7 linked regions of the Mus musculus genome follow. The protein of the gene in region 2 interacts with the protein of the main gene of each other region in a pairwise test. Links are inferred from orthologs where the notes say so. Each region holds a gene or a part of one and is shown on either strand. Other genes may lie near its edges. The genes, in order: Vti1b, Ldlrad1, Mall, Pln, Marchf2, Adgrg7 and Bnip3l.

Evidence for each region.
Region 1: the proteins of Ldlrad1 (region 2) and Vti1b interact in binary tests that used the Homo sapiens proteins (3 or more experiments, as listed by UniProt). The two-hybrid records come from large-scale screens. The link is inferred for Mus musculus from reciprocal best matches to the Homo sapiens genes LDLRAD1 and VTI1B.
Region 3: the proteins of Ldlrad1 (region 2) and Mall interact in binary tests that used the Homo sapiens proteins (3 or more experiments, as listed by UniProt). The two-hybrid records come from large-scale screens. The link is inferred for Mus musculus from reciprocal best matches to the Homo sapiens genes LDLRAD1 and MALL.
Region 4: the proteins of Ldlrad1 (region 2) and Pln interact in binary tests that used the Homo sapiens proteins (3 or more experiments, as listed by UniProt). The link is inferred for Mus musculus from reciprocal best matches to the Homo sapiens genes LDLRAD1 and PLN.
Region 5: the proteins of Ldlrad1 (region 2) and Marchf2 interact in binary tests that used the Homo sapiens proteins (3 or more experiments, as listed by UniProt). The two-hybrid records come from large-scale screens. The link is inferred for Mus musculus from reciprocal best matches to the Homo sapiens genes LDLRAD1 and MARCHF2.
Region 6: the proteins of Ldlrad1 (region 2) and Adgrg7 interact in binary tests that used the Homo sapiens proteins (3 or more experiments, as listed by UniProt). The two-hybrid records come from large-scale screens. The link is inferred for Mus musculus from reciprocal best matches to the Homo sapiens genes LDLRAD1 and ADGRG7.
Region 7: the proteins of Ldlrad1 (region 2) and Bnip3l interact in binary tests that used the Homo sapiens proteins (3 or more experiments, as listed by UniProt). The two-hybrid records come from large-scale screens. The link is inferred for Mus musculus from reciprocal best matches to the Homo sapiens genes LDLRAD1 and BNIP3L.

What each region holds. Positions count from the first base shown.
Region 1 is NC_000078.6:79,155,517-79,158,987, reverse strand, and holds the end of Vti1b (vesicle transport through interaction with t-SNAREs homolog 1B), read left to right. Parts: intron 1-1,078; coding exon 1,079-1,140; intron 1,141-2,416; coding exon 2,417-2,513; 3' UTR 2,514-2,956; downstream 2,957-3,471. Other genes in the region: Arg2 (arginase-2, mitochondrial precursor), read right to left, coding at 2,957-3,162. UniProt on the Homo sapiens protein: V-SNARE that mediates vesicle transport pathways through interactions with t-SNAREs on the target membrane. These interactions are proposed to mediate aspects of the specificity of vesicle trafficking and to promote fusion of the lipid bilayers.
Region 2 is NC_000070.6:107,215,644-107,219,143, forward strand, and holds part of Ldlrad1 (low-density lipoprotein receptor class A domain-containing protein 1), read left to right. Parts: exon of another isoform or gene 1-499; intron 500-505; coding exon 506-634; intron 635-2,122; coding exon 2,123-2,271; 3' UTR 2,272-3,500.
Region 3 is NC_000068.7:127,727,098-127,731,277, reverse strand, and holds the start of Mall (MAL-like protein), read left to right. Parts: upstream 1-1,380; 5' UTR 1,381-1,411; coding exon 1,412-1,522; intron 1,523-4,180.
Region 4 is NC_000076.6:53,336,336-53,340,485, forward strand, and holds the start of Pln (cardiac phospholamban), read left to right. Parts: upstream 1-1,350; 5' UTR 1,351-1,460; intron 1,461-4,150. UniProt on the Homo sapiens protein: Reversibly inhibits the activity of ATP2A2/SERCA2 in cardiac sarcoplasmic reticulum by decreasing the apparent affinity of the ATPase for Ca(2+).
Region 5 is NC_000083.6:33,708,678-33,712,177, reverse strand, and holds part of Marchf2 (E3 ubiquitin-protein ligase MARCHF2), read left to right. Parts: intron 1-2,205; 5' UTR 2,206-2,257; coding exon 2,258-2,433; intron 2,434-3,500. UniProt on the Homo sapiens protein: E3 ubiquitin-protein ligase that may mediate ubiquitination of TFRC and CD86, and promote their subsequent endocytosis and sorting to lysosomes via multivesicular bodies.
Region 6 is NC_000082.6:56,740,359-56,743,858, reverse strand, and holds part of Adgrg7 (adhesion G-protein coupled receptor G7 precursor), read left to right. Parts: intron 1-1,256; coding exon 1,257-1,600; intron 1,601-3,500. UniProt on the Homo sapiens protein: Orphan receptor.
Region 7 is NC_000080.6:67,006,078-67,010,088, reverse strand, and holds the start of Bnip3l (BCL2/adenovirus E1B 19 kDa protein-interacting protein 3-like), read left to right. Parts: upstream 1-1,211; 5' UTR 1,212-1,304; coding exon 1,305-1,401; intron 1,402-1,900; exon of another isoform or gene 1,901-2,252; intron 2,253-4,011.

The sequences.
Region 1 (3,471 bases), on a different chromosome or scaffold from region 2:
CTGGTGCCTAAGGAAGCCAGAGACATCAGATTTCCTGGGACTGGAGTTATGCTTGTAAACTGCCATACCCATCCCGGCAATAAACTCAGGTCCTCTGGACAAGCAGCAAGTGCCTTTTTTTCTTTTTCTTTTATTTTTTTCTTTTGGTTTCCTGAGACAGGGTTTCTCTGTGTATCCCTGGCTGTCCTGGAACTCACTTTGTAGACCAGGCTGGCCTCAAACTCAGAAATCTGCCTGCCTCTGCCTCCCAAGTGCTGGGATTAAAGGCATGCAACACCACTGCCCAGCACAGCAGCAAGTGGTTTTATGTGTTGGGTCACCTCTCCAGCTCTGTTTTCCTATTCATGACAGCTCACAACCATGTCTCCAGTTCCAGGGGATTCGATGCCCTCTTTTGACTTCTGAGGACACCACATATCCATGCGGTGCACATACATACATTCAAGCAAACACTCATACACATAAAAGTAAACCCTTAAAAACACAAGCAAATACCAACTCAGGAGGCTCTCCAAGTATTTAAGTGATAAGATTCAAATCATAGGTTGCCCTGCAGTCACTGGCCCAGCATAGGTAAAACCTTATAGCCTATATGGCAGTCAGAAAGGCTTGGTTTTAAAACTGTGGCACTATTCTCCTCCCCGCCTCCCTTTTTTTTTTTTTTTTTTTTGTTCTTTTCCTGAGGCTGGGTCTCATGTAGCTCTGGCTGTCCTGGAACTCTCTGTAGACCAGGCTGGCTTCAACTTGCCAAGCCTGTTTCTGGGATTAAAAGTGTGCGCCACCATGCTACCATGCCTGTCGCTTTCCTATCTGAATAGCCAAGGTGAAGGATTAGTGACCTCACAGCCGCCCATGCCTATAGGAACAATGAGATATAGTGCTTCCCTCCTTAATGAGCACCCAAACACCTTGACTTTTCTAGGTTCCTTTACTTATACTTAATAGCTTAGATATAAGCTATTAAATTCATTTGATTCTTTGTGTCTTAACAAAGACCTTTTTAATGCCCATGTTCAAGTTCTATAGATTTTTTTTTTTTGGAAAGGATTAGGAGATGACCTATTATTTTCTCTTCCAGCTGGTAAATACAAATGAAAATTTGAGCAAAAGCCGGAAGATTCTTCGCTCAATGTCCAGAAAGTAAGTTTCAAAAACCCCCACAAATTCTTGACATTTAATGTATTTCAACTAAGAAAGCTTAAACCAGTGACTTAACAAATGTCCTGGTAAATCACCTTGGTGCTCCCCAAGCCCTGCTCCCTGCCCCGAAGTCACTCAACAGCAAAGGACAACATAGTCTGTATGTTACATATCTCAGGAGATTGGTAAATTCATAGATTGTTCCAACATAAATAGTGGGAAACCTGTCTGCTGAACAATGTCAGTCCCAGTTTCTCTCTCTTAGAGGGGACCTAAGGAACCAATAGAGCTTTTCTGCTCCCGGGAACATGTTTATGAACACCCGGTGTGGGAGCACGGATAGTACTTAGTTCTTGCCTTTTATGGCAGGCCTTTTTTGGGAGTCCTGTCTTGTTAGCAAGAAGTATTTTAAAAGAACAAAAACAAGCTAGCGGGAGGTAAAAGCGGTTGTGGCATGAGCCTGACGATTGATAGGAGAGCGCCATCCCCAAAGCTGTCCTCTGACTGCCACAAGTGAACTGTGTAGGATGCACATACCTGTGTTCACTAATTTTAAAAAAACTAAACAAAAAAACCAACCTTGAGGTAACTCCTAACTGTAGTTAAAAAAAAAAAAAGGCCGAAGGGAGATGGTGCCATTTGGGCTAAGCTGGGTACCTAGTGTGGCGTGTCCTTGGTGCATGTGAGCTAACAAGAGCTTCAGAAATCCATTCATAGAACAAGCAGTGGGAGAAGATTTCCCCCAAACACTAATAATTCCTTAAAGTAAGGAGAAACGAGATGATAACCTGAAGTAAACTTTTTGGCGAGTGACTGTTGAGGTAGTAGAGCAGAGGGAGAAATAGGGAAGAGTAAGAAGGGAGAAGTTTACAAGACACTGAAAAGCAGATCTCAAGGCCACTAGTTCCTCATCCTACAAGCAGGACCCGGCCGTGAGCTTAATCGACTTTGACACTAAAGAGTGCACCCGTAGCGTATGTATGGCTGGTAGGACCATATTTAAAACAGCAGGACAAGTAGAGGAATTTTTAGAGTCAAGAAGTCATTACGTTTTAGTGTTATATTCCTGTTTCCCACATTTTTGTGATGTAGTCAGTGTTGTCCCTCACTTAAGCCAAGAGCACCATGAATTGTCACTGTCCAAAGGACAGTGCTTTCTGCTGTGTGGCTGTGTAGCCAAACTCAAACTCCATCTACCTCACTGTGTCTAGCATTAGAAACAGCTAGAAATAAGATTGCCCAGACTCATGTCTACTTACTCTGCTTGTCTTTGTAGAGTGATAACCAACAAGTTGCTGCTCTCCGTCATCATCTTGCTGGAGCTAGCCATCCTGGTCGGTCTGGTGTATTACAAATTCTTTCGACACCATTGAACTTCTGTAGGGAAAGCCTTGTGGACCAGCATCTTACTCTGAATGAATGGTTTTACATAGGAATATGTGTTGCTGCTGTGGGCTAACAGTTCAAGAATGTATTGTCTTGTCAGACTATGGGAGGGAGGGCAATGGAAAACCTCGAAAATGTGAAGGAACAGCAACAAGACCAGTATGATATACTAAGGTAATAAATGTTGTTTATGACTCCTTCAAACTTACATGTATAACATTAATAGCTTGTAAACTTCAAAAACAACAAAAAATACATTTACAGTAATAGTGTTGGTGACCAAAATAGAGAAGGGAGTTTTACAGTTGTGAGAGTGCACAGATGTTCTCATTAAGGCAATATTGATCCAGACAGCCATTTCATATCTGTCCCTTCGAATGCCTTGCAACTCTGTAATGCTGTTGTGAAAGGTGCCAGAGTACAGTATTTCCTAAATTCTCACACATTCTTCATTTTCTGATTCGTGTGGTGAACTAGGAGTAGGAAGGTGGTCATAGACAATGTGTCCTCCTTCTCTTGTCTGACCAAAACTTGAAGCAATCACATCCACTGCTAGTCTGGCTGTTGCCTTGGCCTCTTCCTCAGAAGTGGCCAAATGAGGATTGACTTCAACAAGATCCAGAGCTGACAGCAACCCTGGAACAATAAAAGGTAAAAGACGTTAGAACATGCCCTGGCTGCCACTTTCAGTGAGGGTTGTTCCACCTCATAAAAACAAGTCATTTTCCAATATAAAATGACCACAATCAGAAAGCCCTCTGCAGTCTGGAAAGGTGGCTCTGTAGGTGAAGTGCCTCAGCCAAGCCTGATTAGCCGAGTTTGAACCTTGGGCCCCATGTGAGATTGAGAGAGCCAGGCCAGCAAGTTGTCCACTGATTTCCACATGTACTCCCCACTCCACAAACAGGGACACAAAAGTAACTTCAACAACAAAACACCCAGGCA
Region 2 (3,500 bases):
CGCCACTGGGTCCACACTCCAGCTCCTATCCCATGCGCTACTCCAGCATGACAAGTGACTGTCCAGCCTCTGCTTAAGTGTTTCCAGGATGGGGAGCCCACTACCTGAGGCTGGCCTGGGTTTGTGTGAATTTGGGTCACCCTGTCCACAACTTCCTGGGGCCCATGTGTAAGAAATCCAGTTCTACCTGCTATGTCCTGATGAGCTGAGGCTTCCTGGAGATTGAAGGTGGAAGGTTAGCAGAGGTGACAAGGGGGACTGCTGCAGTGAGTATGTACACAATGCTGAGGGTGGGGACATACAAGGGGTGCTCTCAGGGACCCCTTGTCACCCCACAAAGGTTGCACAGAGTAAGAACACTCCACTCTTTGGAACTGATCTCCTTCCTGGAAGACCTCCAGAATGAATGGGGAGATCCTGCAGTAGGACAGGGTGATCCAGCTGCAGGCAACTGAGGTACTGTGGTCAGAGGTGAGTTTGTCTTGCCCCATTTGTCCCTGTATAGGAGATGTGCCCCAGAGCCTCCCCAGCTTCCTCCTGACCACCTGTGGAGACCCAGACTCCTGGATCTACTCAGACCAGAAATGTGATGGCGTCAACAACTGTGGAGACTGCTCAGATGAGCTGAGCCCAGGTGGGGGTCTGGCCACAGGCGGGCAGCAGCCAAGGGCATGGTCCCCTGCATGCTGTCCCTGCATCCTGGGAAGAAAATTTCCCCTCCTACTTGAACATGTCTGGCTAGAGGTGCTTGCTGTGAGAGGCTCTTCTGTGGAGGATGCTATCTTCAGGGCATTGACTGGACACTAGGACCCAGGGGGTGACTGAGCAAAGAGAGTGCCCAGCCTTTCTGGATCTGAGCCTTCTGTCCTAGGCATCTCCTAATAGCCTTAAGAGGAGCGCAGGGCAGGACTTGCTGGCCCAGTTCATATGTGGACAATCCCAAGCACCAAGAAGGGAGCAGATAGCTACGGGAAGGGAGTATAGAGTGAAGGACCTCCTTAGACATCCTTACATTCTTTCCCCAGCACTGGGGAGATGCTCGGTCAGTGTTGCTGCATCGCATCAGGACCTAACTCAATGCCCATGGTAGAAAGGGAGAACCAGCCACAGGTTCCTAACTTCCCCATGCCGCGAGTGTACCATGTCAGGTGCACACTCCCACACACAATAAATAAATAAATATAATACAGAAATGAAAGGTAAGGAGCTAAAGATGCAGCTCAGGTGGTAGAGCAGCTCCCTAGTGTGCCCTGGGTGGATCCTCGGCACGGCATAAATGAGCTACACATTTCTATAACCCCAATACTCCGAGAGTAGAGGCAGGAAGGTCAAAAGTTCAAGGTCATCATTGGCCTCATAGATGAAGGGCAGCCTGAGACTCTATCTCAAAAGACAAAAGGTGAAGGACAATCAAGGAAGACACTGTAGACCTTAAGCCTCCACACAAGTGCACATATATGTGTCCATGCACTCATATGTGTACATGCCTGTGTGGGCACACATGCACACACATTCTATGCCCGGTGTTAAGTCAACAGAGATGTTCTGAGCACTGCTGAGGTGGCCTGTGCCAGATTCTGCAAGGGAGAGTCAGGAGTCAGACCCATCCCCAGGACCACACCATGCTGGTGCCAAGAGGAAGTACTGGGACCTTGAAGAATCTACCAGATACCTCAGAAAAGGCATCACAGAGCATGCCATAGAGAACAGGGGCCAACAGTCAGGACTGGTGTGTAGAGAGGAATGGGGAGCCACGGATATAGGACAGGGGACAGAGGAGTAAGGCACCCCCAGAGTATCCAAAGGATTGCTCATGGTGGGAGTGAGAGTGGGGCAGGAAGCTGGGCTGGGTGGTGCAGCATCTCCACATCCATTAATTCCCGAACACTGTCAGGCTTCTTCTACTGAACCACTGAGGCTTAGCCGGGCGAGCAGGTCACACAGCCTGTGTACGACCTGTGAGGCTGCAATTCTCTCTGCTGCAGGGAAAGCCCACACAGTCACCCACACTAGATGGCCTAAGGCTGCAGGAACTAGGCGTGTTGCAGATCTAGAGAGCACCCTCTTATCTGGAGAACCCAGGGTCAACAGCTGCTTCTTGCACTGTCTCTTGTCTCCCCAGTGACTACGTGCCCGCCCTGTGGCCCTGGGTGGTGGCGCTGCTCGCCAACTGTGTTCAAGTACTGCAGCTGTGTCCCGAGGGATCTGTGCCGGGACAGCGTGCAGCACTGCTCTGACTGGTCAGATGAGTACTCCTGTCCTGGACCCTGAGTGAGCCTCCCTCCATAGCATGGAAGCTGACACCCAGATCCTTTCACCAGAGCACCAAACCCTGGACCGCAAGGGTGGGAAGAAACTTTTGCCATCTCCCAGTGGTACCGGCCCCTGTTGTCTCTGAACAGGAATTGTCTTTCCTCTTTTCAAGTGTCTCAGCCTCCACTTGAGCACGTCAATGACAGGGAGCTCACCACCATGTTAGGCACTCTAATAAGACGAGGTGTCTGACTCCATCACTTTAGGCCTGTCTATGGCATCACATAGAGGAGACATGCTCTTTGACTCCAGAGCAGGCCTGAATTTCCGATCTTGTCATCCCTTGAAGAGACAGATAAATGTGTGGCTTAAATGCCAAGTGAGTTTAGCCCCATGGGGTAGAAAACAAGGCACACACATTTCCCGTCATTCCCCACCTAAGGCAGAAACTGCTGAGTTCAAGGCCGTTGTAACTTGTTGCTCAACTCCCCAGCAGCCTCGACTGATCACATGAGGTTGCATATGGCACTTGGGACCTAGTATCTTTCTAGTTTCCCAGTCTCTTGGAGGCTTGCGGCTATAGAATAGAAGACCCAGAGAAAGCACAGCTTAGAAGAACCCCTCAATGCTTTTAGCCTGAGCCTCAGCCCTGCTTCACCCCACAGTCACCTGCAGGTTTATATTTTGGTCCTGAAGCCAGAACGCCATTCCCCTGCGTCCCTTGTATCCCTTCTATCTTCCTAACACCCAGGCAGGCAAGGATAGGGGTTCTCATTAGACAGATGGGGAAACCGAGGCCCAGGGGATGACTCGCCCAGGGTGGACCCTGTGAGGTTTGAAAATGGCATCCAAGGAGCAGCCAGGCCCTGGCCATTCATTTGTTCTTTCACCACTTGTGTATTTCTTCACCCATTTCTGAGCTGAACTGAGCTGAGCTGAGCTGGGAGCTGAGGGGTGGAGCTTGGGGGAATGGGCCCCTAGAGAAGAGGCCTGGGTCCTGGCACATGAGCAGTAGGGGGTCTTATAGAGAGCCCACCTCACGCCATGTAAGGATGAGTGAGACAGTAGAACTGTGGGGTCCCCTTAAGGGGATGGTCAGTCTCAGCAATCCCTCTTCAGTTGGGTTTCTTTGTAGAAGGTGGGGGCTCTTTTCAGGAGGAGGGCATTCATGCTTGGCCCATATGAGACATGTAACAGTTCTGATTAAGCCATGGGTTATTCAGTAGGTGGGAGGGGCCAAAGCATGG
Region 3 (4,180 bases), on a different chromosome or scaffold from region 2:
AGTACAGTGTGCATAGTTAACGTCACAGTCTACTCAGAATTGATACTTTCCAGGCCAGTGAGATGGCTTATCAGGTAAAGGCACCGTCCCTCAAGCCTGGTGGCTGGGCTCAATCCCTGGAACCTGTGTGTACCTCTTACCCTGCCCCATCTTCCCTGACGCCCCATGTAGATTATGGTCACATCCAAGGGGGCCACAGCCCCAAAGAGAGACATAGCACTTGTGTGTGACATTCAGAAAAGGTGGGTGGCTTTGGATCCATTCTGTCAGCAGTGTGGGGGCCTGAGCTTGTGAACTATACGCTCTAGGACTTGGAAAAGGTTGAGGACAGGCTGTCTGGAAGCTTGCTGGGAAGATCTTTGCCTTTCCCTGCAATGCCTTGGCTTCAAGCTTCATGTATCCAGACTCTGCTGGCTGCTCCAGACCAGGCAGAGCGAACCAGCTACTCCTCCCACCTTGCCCAGGACAGGCCCTGGAATTCCCTGCTGTTGCTAAGGAACAAGACACAGGGCTCTTGTGCAGGACATCCCCCAGTCCTTGGGACAACTCTTCCATGCCTCCTCTCCTACTCCTGAGGAGGCTTTTCAACTGGCCTGCTGGAGCCGAAGAGGGGAGGAAGAAGGCTCTGGGGCGCCAGGCCTTCCCTCAGGGCGGTGGGAAAACAAACCAAGGTTAGTGGGTTGTTAAAGAAGAAGGTGGCCCAGTCTCCAGCCCTGCCTGGCGTTGTGTGAAAGGAAGAGCTTTGGGTCTGGAAGCACAGCCAAGCAGCCAGCCCCAGGCTCTAAGCAGGAAGGAACTGCCTGGTCCCAACCCTGTGTCCTAGCTGGACTAGAACGACAGTGAGAGGAGGACCCAAGAGGGACTCAGAGTACCTGAGGAGGGAGGTGAAAACCAGGCTGCTCCAATCCTTCATTTAGACTCTGAGGACAAAAGCAGATGCTGCTTTTGTGACCACTCTGTGACCTTAACTGGAAAGGTACAACAAAGCCACGTGGTGGTGGTCTATCTGAACTTCAGAAGTGTCTGAAGGTGGCTAACCACACAGTAGGTCCTCAGTAAACAATCTTTATCTTAGCAAAAGAGCCCTTGCTTACACTCTGAGCATAGAGATCACCAGGAGCATACATACAAAGCTGTTCCTTTCATCTCTTCTGGAGTCCTTTGCTCCAGCATTCAAAGTTCCTTAGCAGGGAAAGTCTAGAAAGACCCTCTGCGAGGCTGGTCCTGTCCCCTCTCCTGGCTAGCACAGTGCACAGAAGGGCCCCCGCTCTACTGGAACCTTTCTTTTCCCCTCCCAGGCGACGTCCCTCCGACCGATGGGTGTGTCTGTCTGTCGGGCGGGAGGTGATTCTTGAACAGCTGCGGGCGCAGGCGAGTGCTACGGAGTAAAGACGCCAGCAGAGGTGACAGCATGGCCTCCCGGGACACACCGCCGGCCACCAGCTACGCCCCGCCTGACGTGCCCTCGGGGGTCGCCGCCTTGTTCCTCACCATCCCCTTTGCCTTCTTCCTACCGGAGCTGGTGAGTTGACTGCCCCCACCTGCGGGGAGGGAGGGGCAGACCCGGCAGGGAACCTCGCTGGCAGTTAACTTCAGGCTCCCTCTTTCCCTGTGGGTTTCCCAGGCTGGGTTCCTCTAGAGCAAGTTTTCCTCTTTCCCAAAGGATGAGGAGCTAATCCCCAGGCCACTTTCTTGCTGGAGGGGTCCAGCCACCTTCTAGACTATCCAGACCTCTAAGAAACTTCTACTGCCTGGTTTCTTTCCCCCTAGCTGTTTGTACTTTACTAAAGTTCAAAGAACTAGGGGTCTCTCTAAAGGGCCTTCTGAAAGAAGGTCTCCCAGTATTTTCTCAAATCACATCAGCTGACTTTGAACTTTGATTTACGTGTGTTCCCTGCCGAAGGGAGCTCATGACAGCATCGTCCATAAAACAATCTGAACCGCCCAGGTGACTCTGGGAAACTTGTTGCTGCCCGACTCTGGGACACGGCAGAGCAGAACTAGGCGCTGAACCCTGCCAGCACTCGGCAATGCATTCAGTATTTCCTCAGCTGGCTCCTGCTACTATCCACCTCCCCTACTCCCTGCCACGCCTCCTGTAATATCTAGTTTGTGGGTGAAATTTTCTTCCTAGCCCTGAATTTGACCATGCTGCCTCTGGGCGGGGAGGAAGACTTGGAGTAGGACAGGTTACATAAAATGGGTGTGGCCAACGCTTTCCCTTCTGGTCTTCATGGAAGGTTAGGTCCCATTGAGTGACCTTTAGGCAAATTGCTTAAACAACAGCCATTCTTGGGAAGCGTCCTTGTGGGTCCCACAGGTGGGTGGCCTTGATAGAGACTCCACCTAAGAGGCAGGTTTCTTCTAGCACCAGTCCCCCACAAACGTGGGCATCCAGCCAAGCTGATCAGATCCTGAGCTGTGTGCCAGGCCCTGGGTGTGGGCCTCACTTTGGAACAGTCGCATGGGTGACAGGATGGCTCTGCCACATTCTATTGAGCTTGCCAGTCACGCAAATCATCATCAGAGGAGTGGCTACCTCCCAGGGGTCTCTGTGGCTGGAGAGAGGTTTGGGGGCATTTTTTAGAATGCAGCACACTGTCCTGGCCAGAGGAGGGAGGGGTCTAGGCCTGTCACTCCCTGGAAGAAGGCTGGATTCCTGAGGCAGGAGAGCAGCCAGGTAGAGAGTTGTCACTAGAGGTGCTGACAGTTGTCCCCTGCAGTTGGATTCCTGGAAAAGTACTTTCATGGTGTCCTGGGACTTTGAGGGGATGAGGTCATTGTCATTGATTTGATTTTCTTGACTTATTTTTAAATAGTTTTAGATTTCTCCTAAAGCCATAGCGGCAGCATAGGAAGTCTGCTCCTCACTCGGAACCCCACAGGGCTCTCCAAACCAGGAAGTTAAAGTTAGCACTCTGCCATTGACCATTGTTGTTCTATTTGCTCATTTCCCCACTAATATCCTTTCCCTAGCCCAGGAGCCAGGTCAAAACTCCTGATTGTGTTGGCTGTCCTTTCCCCTTCAGTCAGGGGCGGTTCCTCTGCCTCCATCTTGGTATTTTGGAGAAAGCACTGGCCGGCCGGCTGTGACAGACCCTTGTTGCAGTTAGCCCTGTCTGTGTTTGCTCGCTGTAACTCTAGTTTTCATTTGGAAGTCATCTTCATTCATTGATGAAAACTTAGAAAATGCAGAATTGTGTTCACAGACGGAGCACATGCATCATCTGTGTGTGTGTGTGTGTGTGTGTGTGTGTGTGTGTGTGTGTGCATATGCAAGTGAGGGGGGGTCTGTGTGCATGGGTGAGTCTGTGTGTGAACATGTGTGTGAGTGTGTGTGTGAGTGTGTGTGTATGTATGAATGTATCTGAGTGTGTGTGTGTGTGTGTAAAATATCTGTATCTGAGTGTGTGTGTTGAGTGCATTATTCTGCACATGCTTCTTGTACCTGCTATGAGCATGCATAGAAGAACTCCAGGATAATGTGTGTGCCTGTATGGAGCATGGGAAAGGAAGGGAAAAGATCAGATTTTGATGTCATGGGCAGAAGAAGCTGGGAAGCTGTTCTGGGTGCTGAATCAGTTTGTCCCAGGCCCTTCTTTGGCTCTGCTGCTCTGATGTCTTCTCCCTCCACTGTCCACTGGGGCAGTGTAAAAGCACCATGCCTCCAGGGACCCCTGACCCTTAGCCCTCTGGTCTGAGACAAAAGTCTGTATAGAAGGCATTAGAAAGCAGGGAGACCAGGACACTTGTGCAGAGCACAGAAAGCAGAGCCCAAGTACTAGGATGCAGTGATTCTTCAGTAGGGTGACATAGACACATGGTGTCTACAGTGACCTCTCCTAACCACCATGTGTATGTGAGTGTGTGTGTGTGTGTGTGTGTGTGTGTGTGTGTGTGTACGCGCGTGTGTATGCATGTGTGGAGCACCACATGGAAACCAAGAGTGAGCAGATCCATTGTCAGATCACATCAGACAAGCTCTCCCTTGCTAGCCATGAGCCACCTTGGAGGTGGCTCTAGCTTTTGGTGGTTCTTGGAGATGACAGCAAAGGTGGTTCAGGCTCCCAGTAGCCTACTCCAGTGACCTTTGTTGCCCACAGTGCTTTCCCTCCCAATCTTCAGCATTAAAATTCACATTTAAAATGTTTTATTTTGTGATAGTGATGGTTCTAACAGG
Region 4 (4,150 bases), on a different chromosome or scaffold from region 2:
ACTTTACTTTTACGTGGTAAATATGTCCTTAAATAATATTTATAGACTTTCTTTGATAAAATATTTTCCAGTTAGTTTTAGCTAACATTTTAAGCAACAGGAGATTTGCTCTAGAGAAGTGTTTCATCTTGCTTTGCAAGAAGGCAAGATCATATCCATTTAAGGACTTCAGTGAGCAGCTGCAGGCACACAGTTTTCATACTCACAGGAAAGAGGGAGGCTGATTTTACTCTACTATACACTAAGAATTACGCATAGGTTCTCTAAAGCTAAACAGTGAAACTGAAAAATCAGGGTCCACACATGTGCTGATTTACATACATGTAATATAAAAACAGTGAAGCACGGTAGGAGACAGCAGGACGTGCTCGGCTCTGCAGCATGGCTCAGTTCTACTCAAAGTCAGTCCAGACCTACTGTGGTGGCATTCTAAAATTTTTCTCACATTTCAGACAAAAAAAAATGCTACATTAGGTGAAAAACTTTCAGAAATAAATACTGGACACTTATTTCATCTCTTGGAGACCTGGTCAGCACCGCCACACTGCCATACAGCTGACAGAAACCTGCAGCTCATCTTTTCTAGAAAAGCTACTCCTGACACTAGGTCAGCTTACTAAAAACCTATTTGGTTTCTGTGGTAATACAATGTAGCTATAGAAAACTCTTAAGGCCTTAAACGTATAAAGTGCATCTTTCTGGGGAATAATACATAGCTATTGAAATACAGATTCATTTCTCAGAGCACGGGTGAAAACCTTAACTGAAGAAAATGTAAGTTGAATGTATTTGCTCCTCTAACTATAAATTTCTTTTTCAAAACACAAAGTATTGACCTAGTTTTCTTTTATGCATTCATTCTCTTACCTAGACAGCAATACCTAGACAGATGTGAAACACAAACATAAATAAGACAAGGAAAGGCATCAAATATCACCTGAGAATGTTTGCTGCTCTGACAAGCAAGGCTCTGCGAGGGCAGCTCCATTAACCCTGCCTCTGTTGAGCCTACATTATCCCTCCCAAGCTACCTGCATTCCTTCACAACTATGTTAGCTCTTCCACTCCAACAGCAGTGTGTAACTATCTCCAAGTCTGACGACTTATAACTCTTTAAGGAAAGCTACCTACTATAAAGCAGTATCTTCAAACTTACTTTATTCTCAGTTATCTGTTATACACATTTTTAAGTTAAAAACTAAAAGCAAAGCACAAAGTGTTAATGGCATTTCCAAACCTAACATAAAATAAGTTCTAAGGTTTGGTTGTGATAAGAACATGGCTAACCAATCACATGTTAGAATTCCTACGTGATGTCATAAGACCTCCCTAGAATCCTTTTTCTCCTCCACCTACTGCAGCTGCTCCCATAAACCTGGGAACAGAAAACTGCCCAGCTAAGCTCCCATAAGACTTCATACAGCTTCATGCTCTGCACTGTGACGATCACCGAAGCCAAGGTAAGACGTGAGATCATTGACTTTGGACATTCTTACTTTCTGATATTCAATCTTATTAAACTCTTAAAAGAATTCTAACTCCCAAATTCCAATTCAAAGCTACATAATAAAAGAACCTGCTATGACAAAATGCTTAATTTCTAAATAAATTCTTACCCATTTACTGACAGTGAAAATTAGACAACTTTAAAAGAGATTCTATTCATCTTTAAATTTTGATTACTAGGTTTTTTTGGGTTTTCACATATGAACTCCCAATTTAACCCCCCATTATATTAGCATATATGGTAGGAGAGGTATATTAATTTTCATACAAAAGCAATGGTTTCATGTGCTATGTGTTGCTTGTTAAAACACAGTGCAGGACGAGGCCACTTATTTACAGCTGGGGCACAGCTTATTTTCAGCTTATTTATAACTGAAGGGTATGCACACTGTGAGTACACTTATTTGACGACATTACTGTAGTTCTTAAGGTGATACAATAAAAGAGATTTTTAAGAACAGATAGTAGGAACTACTTTTCAAATGCTCTTGAAGACTGTTACTCTCTAAAATTCCAGTCAACCTTTAAACACTTCTAGAACTTTTATTTTAATGAAAATAGCTTGTTTTAGTTTGAAGCTATAAAGAACAAGTTAGATAGTTTTAAAACAAGCACATGTCTTTATTAAGTGACAGAAAATAATTCAACATTTTTAAAAGTAAAAAGGACATTTTAGCATACAAACATTTCTCAAGAAATTTAATAAGTGTATATTCCTCTAACAACAGAGTACATTTATCAAGTTTTTATTCTCCAGTGTTCTTAAGTTTCCTGCTGTGAATTTAGAAGTAAAACAAAATATTCAGGAAATTGATATGCAACAAAAACTTTATTATTGCTATTTGTTAAAATCTCAATCTACTAAGTAAAATATTTTCTCACTATTAAATCCAATAGATCACATAGAAAATAAACAGATTTTTATTTTACTATTTATATTCCTATCATATTTAAATGCTAAATAAAACTTACCTCTACAATTCTCAATTCCTATAATTCTAACTCTGCTGCTTATGACAAACACAGCTGTCTCCTACACAACATTCTTGTCATGTAAAAACATTTTTAGTATGTGCTTTAACTCCAAGGAACACTGGTCTCTCAATAATTTTGTAACCCTAAAAATATTTTTTCTTTGATATTATACAAATTACACTTGGTGCCAAGTTTATTTGTCATATTTCTGCTATTTTTATTTATCTATCCACTGTGTTGCTGGGGGACTAGGGAAGAGAGTGAGAGAGAGAGAGAGAGAGAGAGAAAGAGAGAGAGAGAGAGAGAGAGTGTCATTGCATGTCTGTGAAGGTCAGAAGAGTTTGTAGGAGTCAGTTCTTTCTTCCCACCATGTAGGTCTCAGGAGTCAAGCTTGGGTCGTCAGGCTTGGCAGCAAGTGCCTTACCTACTGAGCCCTTTCCCCGGTCCCTGAAGGTTTACCTTAATGCCTATCCAATAGCATTCTCAAACTTGAACAGTGTGTGCAAAAGTTTTTTTCAGTGGAGTAAGGGGTAGGTAATGAGTTTCTTTCCACCAGAATTTCCTTATATCACAATTAGTTACAAAAAAAAGGAAGCAACTTCTAGAAAAAAATATAAATTCTGCTATAGAAAGCATCTTTAGCAGATTAAGCAGATGCTGCCTGTAGTTAAAATTTTCAATATAAAGCACAGTTTCTACATAGCTTTATGGTGACATTGAAGTATTTTGTTTATAAAGGTACATGCTTTAAAAGTAAGCACAAAAAAGGATAAAATCAATGAAGAAATGTAACAGATACACTAAAAAAGAATGAGATGATTTGCTTTGCCAAAAGGAGTTGCCGCAGTGTCATTTCCTAAAGCAAATCAAAATTGTTTTTAGAATATTTTAGTAGACATAGAGGAAAATTGCTGCATTTGGGTCATTATTAACAAATATTGTTTCTTAATCTCACCAATTTATCAAGACATAATATTTGCATTGGCTATAGAATTCAAAGTATATATTAAAACATCAAGTGAGGATGATTAAAGTATAGATCACTGCTATAAATTACACAGCATAAGCACATTTTTTCTGAAGAACATTTTCCTAAGTGCACTTACACACAGACACTCCCTCTTAATTCTTTGTATGCATCTCTACATCATCATTTGGAGAACAGATTTTAAAACAAGTGAGCTCTGTGAAGTTCACAGAGCTACAAGCAAATAGGAGACCTTGTGGGAGAGGCCATTTGCACCTCTGATCCCGTTCAGTGATGAGCATGGTTAAGATACATCATCATCCTGACAAGGTACAGAAAAAGAAAAGCAAATGCAAAATGCTGTGAATGGTCATTTTCTGAGAAAATGAGGATGCAAACTACTGCTAACTAAAAAGCATTCCTCTGTTTCATTTAAATCCATCAAGTGTTGGATCTGTACTATTCTGTATGATATTCTAAACATTATCTTCAAAGTCAGGCATAAAGTTACTGATGTCCTTAGTTTTTAAGCAGTAAATTCTAGTCAGCAAAGTTCAAAATAATCACATAGACATGAACATACCAGAATCAAATTAAAATATACAATCATTAAGTTTGCTCTATTGATAAAAAATATACCTCCAATCCATTTAAGCTTGTTATCTAAAAATCAGACTGATTTTTCCATAACTCTGAACAAAG
Region 5 (3,500 bases), on a different chromosome or scaffold from region 2:
TGGATTCTTGGTAGGTACTCTACCTCTGACTCATGCTTGAGCCTCTCTAGATGCATTCTGCTTTCACTAACGATAGCTTAATATGTTTTGAGCTCAGTTTCAAGGATCCGGTTTTCGCTAGAATAGGGTGATTCTGGCTGTGTAAAAAACTGAGCAAAGGGCATGGCACACAGGTGTGCAGTCACTTTCAATCAATGTTCCTCTATGTGAAAATGTGATTTGGAGACTGGTTTTGTAGGAATTTGAAGTGGGGCCATGCCTGCCTTTTTCTAGAAGAATGAGAGAAAATCCAACACAAGCCCAGCTGTCTTCTACGCCTGCCTAAGTTGTATACATCAACTTGTAGAGTTCTCACCTACCTACATTTTACAAATGCAAAGATTCAAAGAGTCAAGTCTTTGCCCATAGTCTTTGAGTTCTGTTTTAGTGTTATTTCTGTTGCCCTGATAAAATACCAGGGCAAAAGCAACTTAAAGGATGTCTTACAGTTTTACTGCTGTGAACAGATACCATGACCAAGGCAAGTCATATAAAGAACAATGCTTAATTGGGGCTGGCTGACAGGTTCAGAGGTTCAGTCCATTATTATCAAGGTGGGAGCATGGCAGCATCCAGGCAGGCATGGTGCAAGATGAGCTGAGAGCCCTGCATCTTCATCTGAAGGCTGCTAGGAGAATACTGACTTACAGGCAGCTAGGATGAGGGTATTAAAGCCCACACCCACAGTGACACACCTACTCCAACAAGTCCACACCTAATCCAACAGGGCCACACCTACTCCAACAGGGCCACACCTTCTAATAATGCTATTCCCGGGGCTGAGCATATATAAACCATCACAGAGGAGAGGAAAGGATTTATTTTAGCTCACAGTTCCAGGCTATCACTTCAGAGAAGTCACAGTGGCAAGAGCTAGAGAGCATTCATCATATCATATCTATAATCAGGAACAGAGAACAATGTATGTAGGCTAGTGCCCAGCTCACTCTGCCCTTTTTGTTCAGTCCAGTGTGTAGCCTACCTACATCCAGGGTGGGTCTTCCCACCTCAAGTAACCAATTAAGAAAATCCCTAGATAGGAGAGACTCCAGATGTTTCAGAGAGCAGAATCCCACCAAAGCTACCCAAGGCAGACGAGAATGGCTACCTAAGGTGTTCATTATCTCCTGTAGCCTCTCCTTGGGAACCGGGGACAGAGCAACTGATCTTCAACCTTGATTTGAGATCAACCCCTAGGACCCATATTGTGGAAGAAGAGAACTGAGTTCTGCAAGCTATCTTCAGACTCTCACATGCATGCTCTGGAACATATACATCTACACACATATACATATTACACACAAAACAAACATAATTTAAAAAGAAAAAAAATTGTCTCCTATGGGCACGTGGTTATATCCCAACCTAGTCTAGACATTCCTCATTGAGAGCCCCTTCCCAGGTGAGTCTTGAGTGTGTCAGTTTGACAGGTAAATAATCTTCACAATCTCTGACAAGACAGGACTCAAGAGCCAGGCGTGATCTGTAATCTAGCATTCAGAAGGCTGAGATATTCAGTTCCAGGCTAGTCTACACTACAGAACGAGCTCAGAGGCTATGGCGATGGCTTGGAGGTTAAGAGCACTGGTTGCTCTTCCTTAGGACCTGGATTCAATTCCCAGCAACCACATGGTGGCTAGCAACCATGGGTACTCCAGTTTCAGGAGGTCTCTGCAGGCACCAGGCAGTAGTCTACAGACAGATGTGCAGGCAAAATACCTATACAGATAAACATTAAGTAAAACAGTGAGATCAGAAGAGGGACTCAGGCTGGGGACCCCACCCTACAGGAAGGTGTGGACTTTAGTCTACATCCCCTGAACCCATGCAAAGTAAGGCACAATAAGCCTTCCGTGCAGTCCTAGTCCTCATACTGTGAAGTGGGAGGAGGGGACAGGAGAATCTCTGGAAGCTGGGTGTGAGCTGGTCTGGTGTACCTAGCACAAAGAAGAGACTCTGTCTCAGGCAAGGTGGAAGACAAGGGTATTCTCCTGCCTCTGATCTCTACTAATGTACCTTTGCACATGTTCACTTGCACTCTCACACACATATTTGCAAGCACAGGAACATAAACACATACATACCTTAAAAAAAAAAAAGAGGAAACAAAACTGCTGTTGTGACTCACTAATTTTGCCTTTGATCTCTCTGCCCCCTCCCGCCCAGGTTTCTGGGACCATGGGCCTCAGGCCCTGAGGACAGGAGGCTCCCTGTGGCCATGACGACAGGTGACTGTTGCCACCTCCCTGGCTCCCTATGTGACTGTTCGAGCAGCCCTGCCTTTTCCAAGGTTGTAGAGGCCACAGGGCTTGGGCCACCTCAATATGTAGCACAAGTGACTTCACGGGATGGCCGGCTGCTCTCAACTGTCATCCGGGCTTTGGATTCACAGAGGTGAGTAGTGACCATTAGTAGCCAGGCTTTTGTCCCCATTTCTCTCTGGGTTGAATGATATTCTACTAGTCTAGGGTCAGGAGGTCCAATCACTTGAGAGAGTCAGAGAGGTTAATATGCTAGAGAAAAAAAGCCAAATACTGATGTTGGAGGAATGGCTCATTGGTAAAAGGACCTGCTGCTCTTTTAGGAGTTCAGTTCCCAATACCAACATTGAACAGTTCATAACTGTCTGTAACTCCATTTCTAGGGGATCTAACACCCTCTTCTGACCTCTTTGGGTACTCCTTTATTTGGGTACAAAGACAAAAAAATAGTGTGTGTGTATATATATACATATATATATATACATATATATATATGTATGCATGTATATATATGCATGTATACAACACATATATATAGTAATTAGTATGTATATATTAGCACACACACACACACACAGACACATGTACATCCAAGTAACTGGGGTGTTTGTTTATCAGTGGAGCTAGGGAGATGGTTCAGTTCATAAAATGCTTGCTGTGCAAGCTTGAAGACCTGAGGTCCATGCCTACAATCTATGTAAGAAACTGAGCATTGTAGCCTGGGTTTGTAATCCCAGTACTAGGGAGCCAGAGACAAGCAGATCTCTGGAGCTCTCTGGTGAGCCAAGCTACCTTAATTAGTGAGTCCTAGGCCAATTAGAGACTTAAAAAAAAAACCATGGTGGACATCCCCTGAGGAATATCACCTGATGTTGACCTCTGGCTTTTACATACACAGACCTACTCCAACAAGGCCACATTACCTAAAAGTGTCACTCCTTGTGGGCCTGTGGGGACCAATGAGTGTATGGGACTTGCTTATAGAGCCTGGGTATGTGGTTACTTACAGGAACATGGGTATTCAGCATCTTAGTTAGGGTCTTACTGCTGTGAAAAGACACCATGACCAAGGCAACTCTTATAAAGGACAGCATTTAATTGGGGTTGGCTCACAGGTTCAAAGGTTCAAAGGTTCGTCCATTATCATCAAGGTAGGAGCATAGCAATGTCTAGGCAGACATGGGGCTGGAGGAGCTGAGC
Region 6 (3,500 bases), on a different chromosome or scaffold from region 2:
ACCATTTGGAAAAAGAATTCTAAGCTGACTTACAGAAAAGAAATATGATTATGTTCTAACATCAAAAAGGCAGTAACCATCTGCCTACTAAGAAAAATAGCATCAGTAGTAATGTAAAACACTTTGCCTAATTTACAGGTTTGTGGAGTATTTACTCTTTGAAACATAAGCAAAATAAACTTTTAAAAAACGTATCATTGTTCTATTATGAACTTTTAAAATTATATTTGGCATTAACTTAAAATTTACAAATGATGTTTAAAAATAAATATTGGCTACAAACAGAGATTTCTCTACATTCAAACATGGGTTCACCTATTAATGCAAAATTTTCTGTTTTCAGGTAGAAATGCCATGTAGACATTCTTCTGTACATAGCCTTTGTATATGTTTGCACATGCTCGAGCTCAATGGCGTAAAGTATTATCTCTCATGAGTTAGGGGCTTTATGGGGCTGGTCTGGTCTTGCTGAGCTATTTCAGGAGATGGAGTTGGGAAAATAGCTGGGATGAGCCCTCTGGGGCGTCCCTCTAGGACAGTGCTTCTCAACCTTCCTAATACCACAGCCCTTTATACAGTTCCTCATGGTGTTGATGTTGTTGATTTGCTGATGATATTGGTGGTGGTGCTGTTGATATTGTTGATGATGTTCTGTAATAGCCTGGGTTCAAATAGTATGCAAAAGCAAAGAGTGTTTTATTCTGCAGAAGTCCAGCATGCTAGCGTCTCCCATTACAAAGATAGAGATGCCCCCACTGAGCTCACAGACCTGATTTAAAGCACACTAGGGAAGGGGTAGGTGACCTCTATCTTAATTATTGGCTCTAACTCTAGGGACATTCCAGGACCATTAGTGGGGAGTGGGGGACTGGAAACTATTGCTGGGGAAGTCTGGAAACTGCTGCTGACCCATTGTCCTTCTTGTAGGCCAGGTGGCAGGGCAGCTTCTGATGGCAGGGCAGTTTCTGACTGGCTGCCTGAAACCTGAGGTTTTGTTTTTGTTTTGTATGGTTTTGTTTGTTTGTTTGTTTTGGGTTTTTCAGTACCTGACTTGCCTGGGCTTGACTGGACTTGCCCAGTTCTTGGGAATAGAGATTTAGGCCTGGTCTCCTGAACTGCCAACTTGAAGAAGCCTGTCATGGAGTCAGCCTAGCCTGTCTCAGTTGATGATGCTTTGCAGTTTCTGTGATTTTACTTGGTTATTCATATTTAATTATTTTATTTTATTTTATTTTATTTTTACTTTTAATTTTTAGGAAAATCAGAAAAACCTCAGTAACCTGGGTGTTGGTCAGTTTGTGTTCATCAATGTTGATTTTTAACCTCCTCTTTGTGTTTGGAATTGAAAACTCCAATAAGAACCTAAAGACAAGTGATAGTGACATCAATGTTAAACCTGAAAATAACAAAATACCAGAAAGTGACACCATTGAAACCCCGAATCCCTCATGCACAGCCATTGCTGCCTTGCTCCACTACTTTCTGCTGGTGACATTCACCTGGAATGGACTCAGTGCTACACAACTCTACTTCCTTCTGATAAGAACCATGAAGCCTCTCCCTCGGCATTTCATTATCTTCATCTCATTAGTTGGATGGGGTAAGTGTTTGCACCAACACTTAATTAGAAATTTCAACAAACACCCATTGGAGGTCTAACCATTCAGGGTAGGGGAAAAAATAGAGCAATCACTAAGAACTCTTTCTGTCTAGTAGCTGACTCTCCAGTGAGGGATCAACACGGGTATACTGGACATATTATAAGCTAAATCAAAGGGTTTAATTTTTAAAACATCCCTTTATTAGTTTATGCTAGATTTGGAACATATGCAATTAATCTCCTAGCTACTTTTTTATTAATTATTTATTTATATCCCTCCCATCCCCAAATGTTGCCCTCCCTCACAGTGCCTCCTCACAGACTCTTGCCCACATCCTTCTGAGGAGATGTCTCTCATAGCCTCTGAGAGGGTGCCACCAGGTATCCCTCTACTCTGGGACATCAAGTCTCTATAGGATTAGGTGCATCCTCTCCCACTGAGGCCAGACAGGACAGCAATCTCACTAAAATCAGGAACAAGACAAGGCTGCCCATTCTCTCCCTATCTATTCAATATAGTACTTAAATTCTAGCTAGAGCAATAAGACAACAGAAGGAGATCAAGGGTATACAAATTGGAAAGGAAGAAAGTCAAGGTATCAGCATTCACAGATGATATGACATTCACAGATGATATGACATTCACAGATGATATGATAGTATATATAAGCGACCCCAAAAATTCTACCGGAGAACTCCTACAGCTGATAAACAATTTCAGCAAAGTGGCCAGATATAAAATTAACTCAAAGAAATCAGTAGCCCTCCTTTATACAAATGATAAATGGGCTGAGAAAGAAATTAAGGAAATGACACCCTTCATAATAGTCACAAATAATATAAAATATATTGGTGTAATTCTAACCATGCATGTGAAAGATCTGTATGAAAAGAATCTTCAAGTCCCTGAAGAAAGAAATCAGATAAGACCTCAGAAGATGGAAAGATCTCCCATGCTGATGAATTGGTAGGATTAACATAGTGAAAATGTTCATCTTACCAAAAGCAATCTCCATCAAAATTCCAACACAATTCTTCACAGACATGGAAAGAACAATTTTCAACTTCATATGGAAAAAATATCAATTCTGAACAATAAAATAACTTCTAGAGGTATCACCATCCCTGACCTCCAAGCTGCACTACAGAACAATAGTGATAAAAACTGCATTGTAGCCAGGTGTGGTGGTGCACGCCTTTAATCCCAGCACTTGGGAGGCAGAGGCAGGTGGATTCCTGAGTTCGAGGCCAGCCTGGTCTACAGAGTGAGTTCCAGGACAGCTAGGGCTACACAGAGAAACCCTGTCTCAAAACAAACAAACAACAAAACCATAAAAACAAAAAGTTGCATTGTGTTAGTATAGAGTCAAACAGGTTGATCAGTATAATAGAATTGAAGACCCAGAAATAAACCCACCCACCTATGGACACTTGATTTTTGACAAAGAAGCCAAAATCATACAGTGGAAAAAAAGAAAGCATTTTCACCAAATGGTGCTGGTCTGACTGGAAGTCAGCATGTAGAAGAATGCAAATAGATCCATATTTATCACCCTGCACAAAGCTCAAGTCCAAGTGGATCAAGGACTTCAACATAAAACCAAATACACTGAATCTAATAGAAGAGAATATGGGAAATAGCCTTGAACACATTGGCACAGAAGAAAATCTCCTAGCTACTTTAACAGTATTTAAAGGAAAGTAATCAGAGTGATTTGTTATGAAAAAAATTCTTGAACATTATGTTGTGTCCCAGAAAAGACAAAGGGAAGAATTGTTTCAGTCCTAATCAAATTTAAATTGTTCAAGTAAAAATAAATTGGAACATTTGGTGATGAACATTGTTACTGGAAAATTAAGACATGAGAAATCAGATAGGATTGGTATTTACAGAACACTA
Region 7 (4,011 bases), on a different chromosome or scaffold from region 2:
TGTGAACGAGCTGTCATGTGGGTGTTTTGAACCAAACCTGAGTCCTTTGCAAGAGCAGCCAGTGTGCTTAACCCCCCAAGCTATCCCTCCAGATCATGTTTTTGGATGTCAATTCAAAGTGACAAAGACTTATTGTGTGTGCCTGTATTTATGATTTAGAGGGGGAGGGCATATGCCACGGTGCATTGGTGGAGGTCAGAAGGCAACTTTGTTAGCTTTCTTCCCATCTACCGGGAGCTCCGGGCAATGAACTCAGTCTGCAGGTTTACTCAGCAAGCGCCTTTACCGGCAGAACCATCTCACTGGCTGGTCCTAGATTTAGTATTTCCGTGTTTGGGTATCTCAGACCATATTTTTAAAAAAGACAATTACATGAAAATTCAACAACTGCAATTAAAGCAAAGTTAAAAGGCAAGTACAATATTGAGAAAAACATTATACAAAAATCGGGTCAAGGAAACTTGACAAAGATACGACGTAGGAGTATTTAGGAACATTAACAGAGTCAGCAACCAGCGTACAGGAGGTAGGGCATTTACAGAGATAGATAACAACCAGGGTTTGGGTAAATCTGTATTTTCTTTTCCCTTTTAATTTGTTTTTGAAGGCAATGGGTCGCTCGATAGCGTAGGCTGCAGGGAACTCGAAATCCTCCTGCCTCAGTCTTAGAAAGAGCTGAAATAACAAGTGTGCGCCACGCCCAGCCATTGATTTTTTTTTTAAACCGTGATTACATGTTACCTTTGCAATTAAAATGTTATAAATTCCAACAAGGTGATTAGCTCCAAGGTACCTCCCACGGTATTCTGTGGGAGGCACAAATGGATGTTTCACTAAGGGGAGGAACTGGGGTTTTCTGCTTCTTTAAAGCCACGGGTGAGTTCTTAAGTGGATACTGCAGGCGTGGGAGGGGTTCCATTCAGGCCCCGCGCGCTTCCGGGCTGCACACTCCTCCCTAATCTCAATCCAATGCCAACTTCCTAGCTCAGCCCTTCCGGCTATTGCGACTGACTCGCAGGAATTCTTTCCTGGCGCCCGTATCAGCTCGACTTCCGCACCCGCACGTCCCGAGCAGCTCGCGAATGCCCCGCCCAGCCCGGCCTGGTCACGCCCCCTATCCTGGGCTCCGACCCCGCCGTCCAGCTGCCTGTGTTGTCATCACATGGTCCGGGAGGGCCCTGACGTCACGAAGGGAGGGACTGCGCAGACGCAGAAAAGGGGGCGGGGGAACTCGACTTGTTGTGTTGCTGCTCGAGAGCCGGATACTGTCGTCCTGCGGCCGTGCCGCTTCCAGTCTCCAGACCATGTCTCACTTAGTCGAGCCGCCGCCGCCCTTGCACAACAACAACAACAACTGCGAGGAAGGGGAGCAGCCCCTGCCGCCGCCCGCTGGCCTCAACAGTGAGCACGGGGCCGCCGGGCTCAGCGGAGGGATGGGGGAGGAGGAGCCGCTCGGCCGCCGCCGTGCGGGCGGGGGGGGGGGGTTGGTGGTGGTGGTGGGGGAGTGGGCGGGAGCAGACGACAGCTCATTGGTTGGGACCGAGATTGTGCGTATGACTGACAGCGGCGCGCTCCGGTTAGGAGCAGGCGCTCGGCGCTGGCTCGCGGCCTGCGCCTTGGGCGCCGAGGTTTAGGGTCGCGGTGGGCGTCGGGAGCCGGAGGCGCACGCAACTCGGGGTGGCAAGCGGAGGCTGGCCAGCGGAGGGGGAGCATGGGACGTGCGGCGGGGACACCGGGGGATGGACGCGACCGGTCGGGCGTGGCGGGTGGACGTGCGGCCGCGCAGGTGTGCTTGCGGAGCTCGCCTCCTACCACACGCCGGTCCAGGGGGTCATCGGAGTTTCGTGCAGGGTGCTTGCTCCGCCCCTGACATTTATCTTTTTTTTTTTTTTTAGTCTGAAAATTCCCAAGTTTCTCAAGTGAGTTTTTTGTTGCTGTTAACCTTGAATTCATATTTTACTGCTTTTTCTTTTCTTTTTCTTTCTTTTTTTTTTTTTTTGAGAGAGCTTCTCATGTAGCCCAGGCTGGCCTCACTCGTTGTGTTGCTGAGTGACCTGATCCCTCCTACTTTCCACTTTCCCAAGTTCTTGGGTGACAGGCGGCAGCCACCATACTAGTAACTTTTCAAGTGCTGTTTCTTATGTTAAATGGATTGGGTGCCCAGCACATGCCCTAGGATCACGTCCATTTCAGCCAAATCTGCAGTGAACTTCAGGAAATACAGTAAACAACACAACAGACGCAGGCCACAGGTACTAGCAATTGAAAGTTGATGGTCAGGATCCAGTTGCAGTCAAACAGACATCTTGTCCCCAGAGTGTCCGCTGTTGTTGTGAGATCGCCGGACCTTCTTGCCCAACCTTTCTGTTTGGATTTCATGTCTTAATGAAAGAGGTAGTGGGTGGTGGTAGTTGTCACAGGGCCAGATGAAGTTCTTTAAAAGCCATTTGTATGCTTAAAGGTCAGGCAGTGTCTTTCATAAGAGGGATGGCTTCCAGGGTGGCCAGAACGGTTTAGGGAAGAGCTGTTACTGAGTCTAGAGGATAGTGGCAGGAGCGTTTGGGTATTTTAGCCAGGTGTGGTGCCACTTGCCTGTCATTCAAGCACTAGGGAAGTGTAGTAAGCGTGGTCCCCAGAATAAAACTTTGTGTCAGAAAACAACAAAACCAAAAAATAAGGAACAAAGAATTCAGGAATTTTAAGACTCTGTCCCTGCCCCATATTTTGATAAGCAATATTTGATAACTTCTCTAAAATGCCGGCTTTTACAAAGATCTAGTCAAGTGTGTCCTTAAATTTTACTCATAATCACATAATTCAGAATTTAAAATTTTTACCCATCTTTAGCATACATTTTTGGAAATGAAAAGACTAAAGAAATACATGCTTCATGTTATTTCCAGAAGCTGTGGCTCTTTTTTGAGGCCCATGGGTGCTTTCGGGAGCCTTCCCTTGTTTTTGGCATGCTTATATATGAGTATCTTCCGCCTGGGCCTTTATGAGTTAGTTGTGCTCAGCGTCTTCTTACTGCTTAGATGTCTGGAAAATTCAAAGGGATTTTCATTTTTCTTGGATTCTTTATTAACAACAGAACTGAAAAGGGTTGAGCTATGTTTGTTTATTCCTAAGTCTCACAGACCTGGGAGGTGTTTGTCATGGACCAGCCAGCTTCTTCCTTAGTTTTCTCAATGGCTCTTGGAGACCCTCCAGCCTATAGATGATACCAGATGTTACTTTGGGAAATCTGCTAGATAAAAAGTATTGTACTTGGGCTAATTAAGCTGTACTTTTAAAAGTTACTGAAAGCTCGATGGTGCCAGGTTTAATTATTGTCCTTGCCTCTTACTTTGCTTGCTTTGTTGTTGTTGTTGTTGTTTTGTTTTGTTTTGTTTTTTTTTTCGAGACAAGGTTTCTCTGTGTAGCCCTGGCGGTCCTGGAACTCACTCTGTAGACCAAGCTGACCTCAGCACTTGGGAGGCAGAGGCAGAGGCAGAGAGATCTGCCTGCCTCTGCCTCCCAAGTGCTAGGATTAAAGGGGTGTGCCACCACTGCCTGGCCTTTGTTTGCTTTTTAAAGTTTAGTACACAACCCTGGATTGAACAAAACAAACTTTATTGATTCTTCCAAGTGATTTTTTTTTTTTTTTTTTTTGGATGAGCAAAACAACTTACTCAGACATCTAAAACCATCCTAATTGCTGATAACTCTAAGCACTTTGCTGGCCGCAGTTCCACAACTGTGGAAAACAGCAGCTGAAACACATACAGATTATCTCTGGCTTGGGATTTTTATCTTTAGTTCAAGGATCATGGCAGAGGGTTTGTCTGTCCGTTTTAATGTGTATGGGTGTGCCTGCATATATGTATGTGCACCATGTGCATACCTGGTGCCTATGAGGCCAGAAGAGGACATCAAATCTCCTGGAACAGAAGTACAGATGGTTGTGCGCCTCCAAGTCATGCTGGGAATCCAACCCAGGTCCTCTGGAAGAGCAGATACTGCTCTTAATTG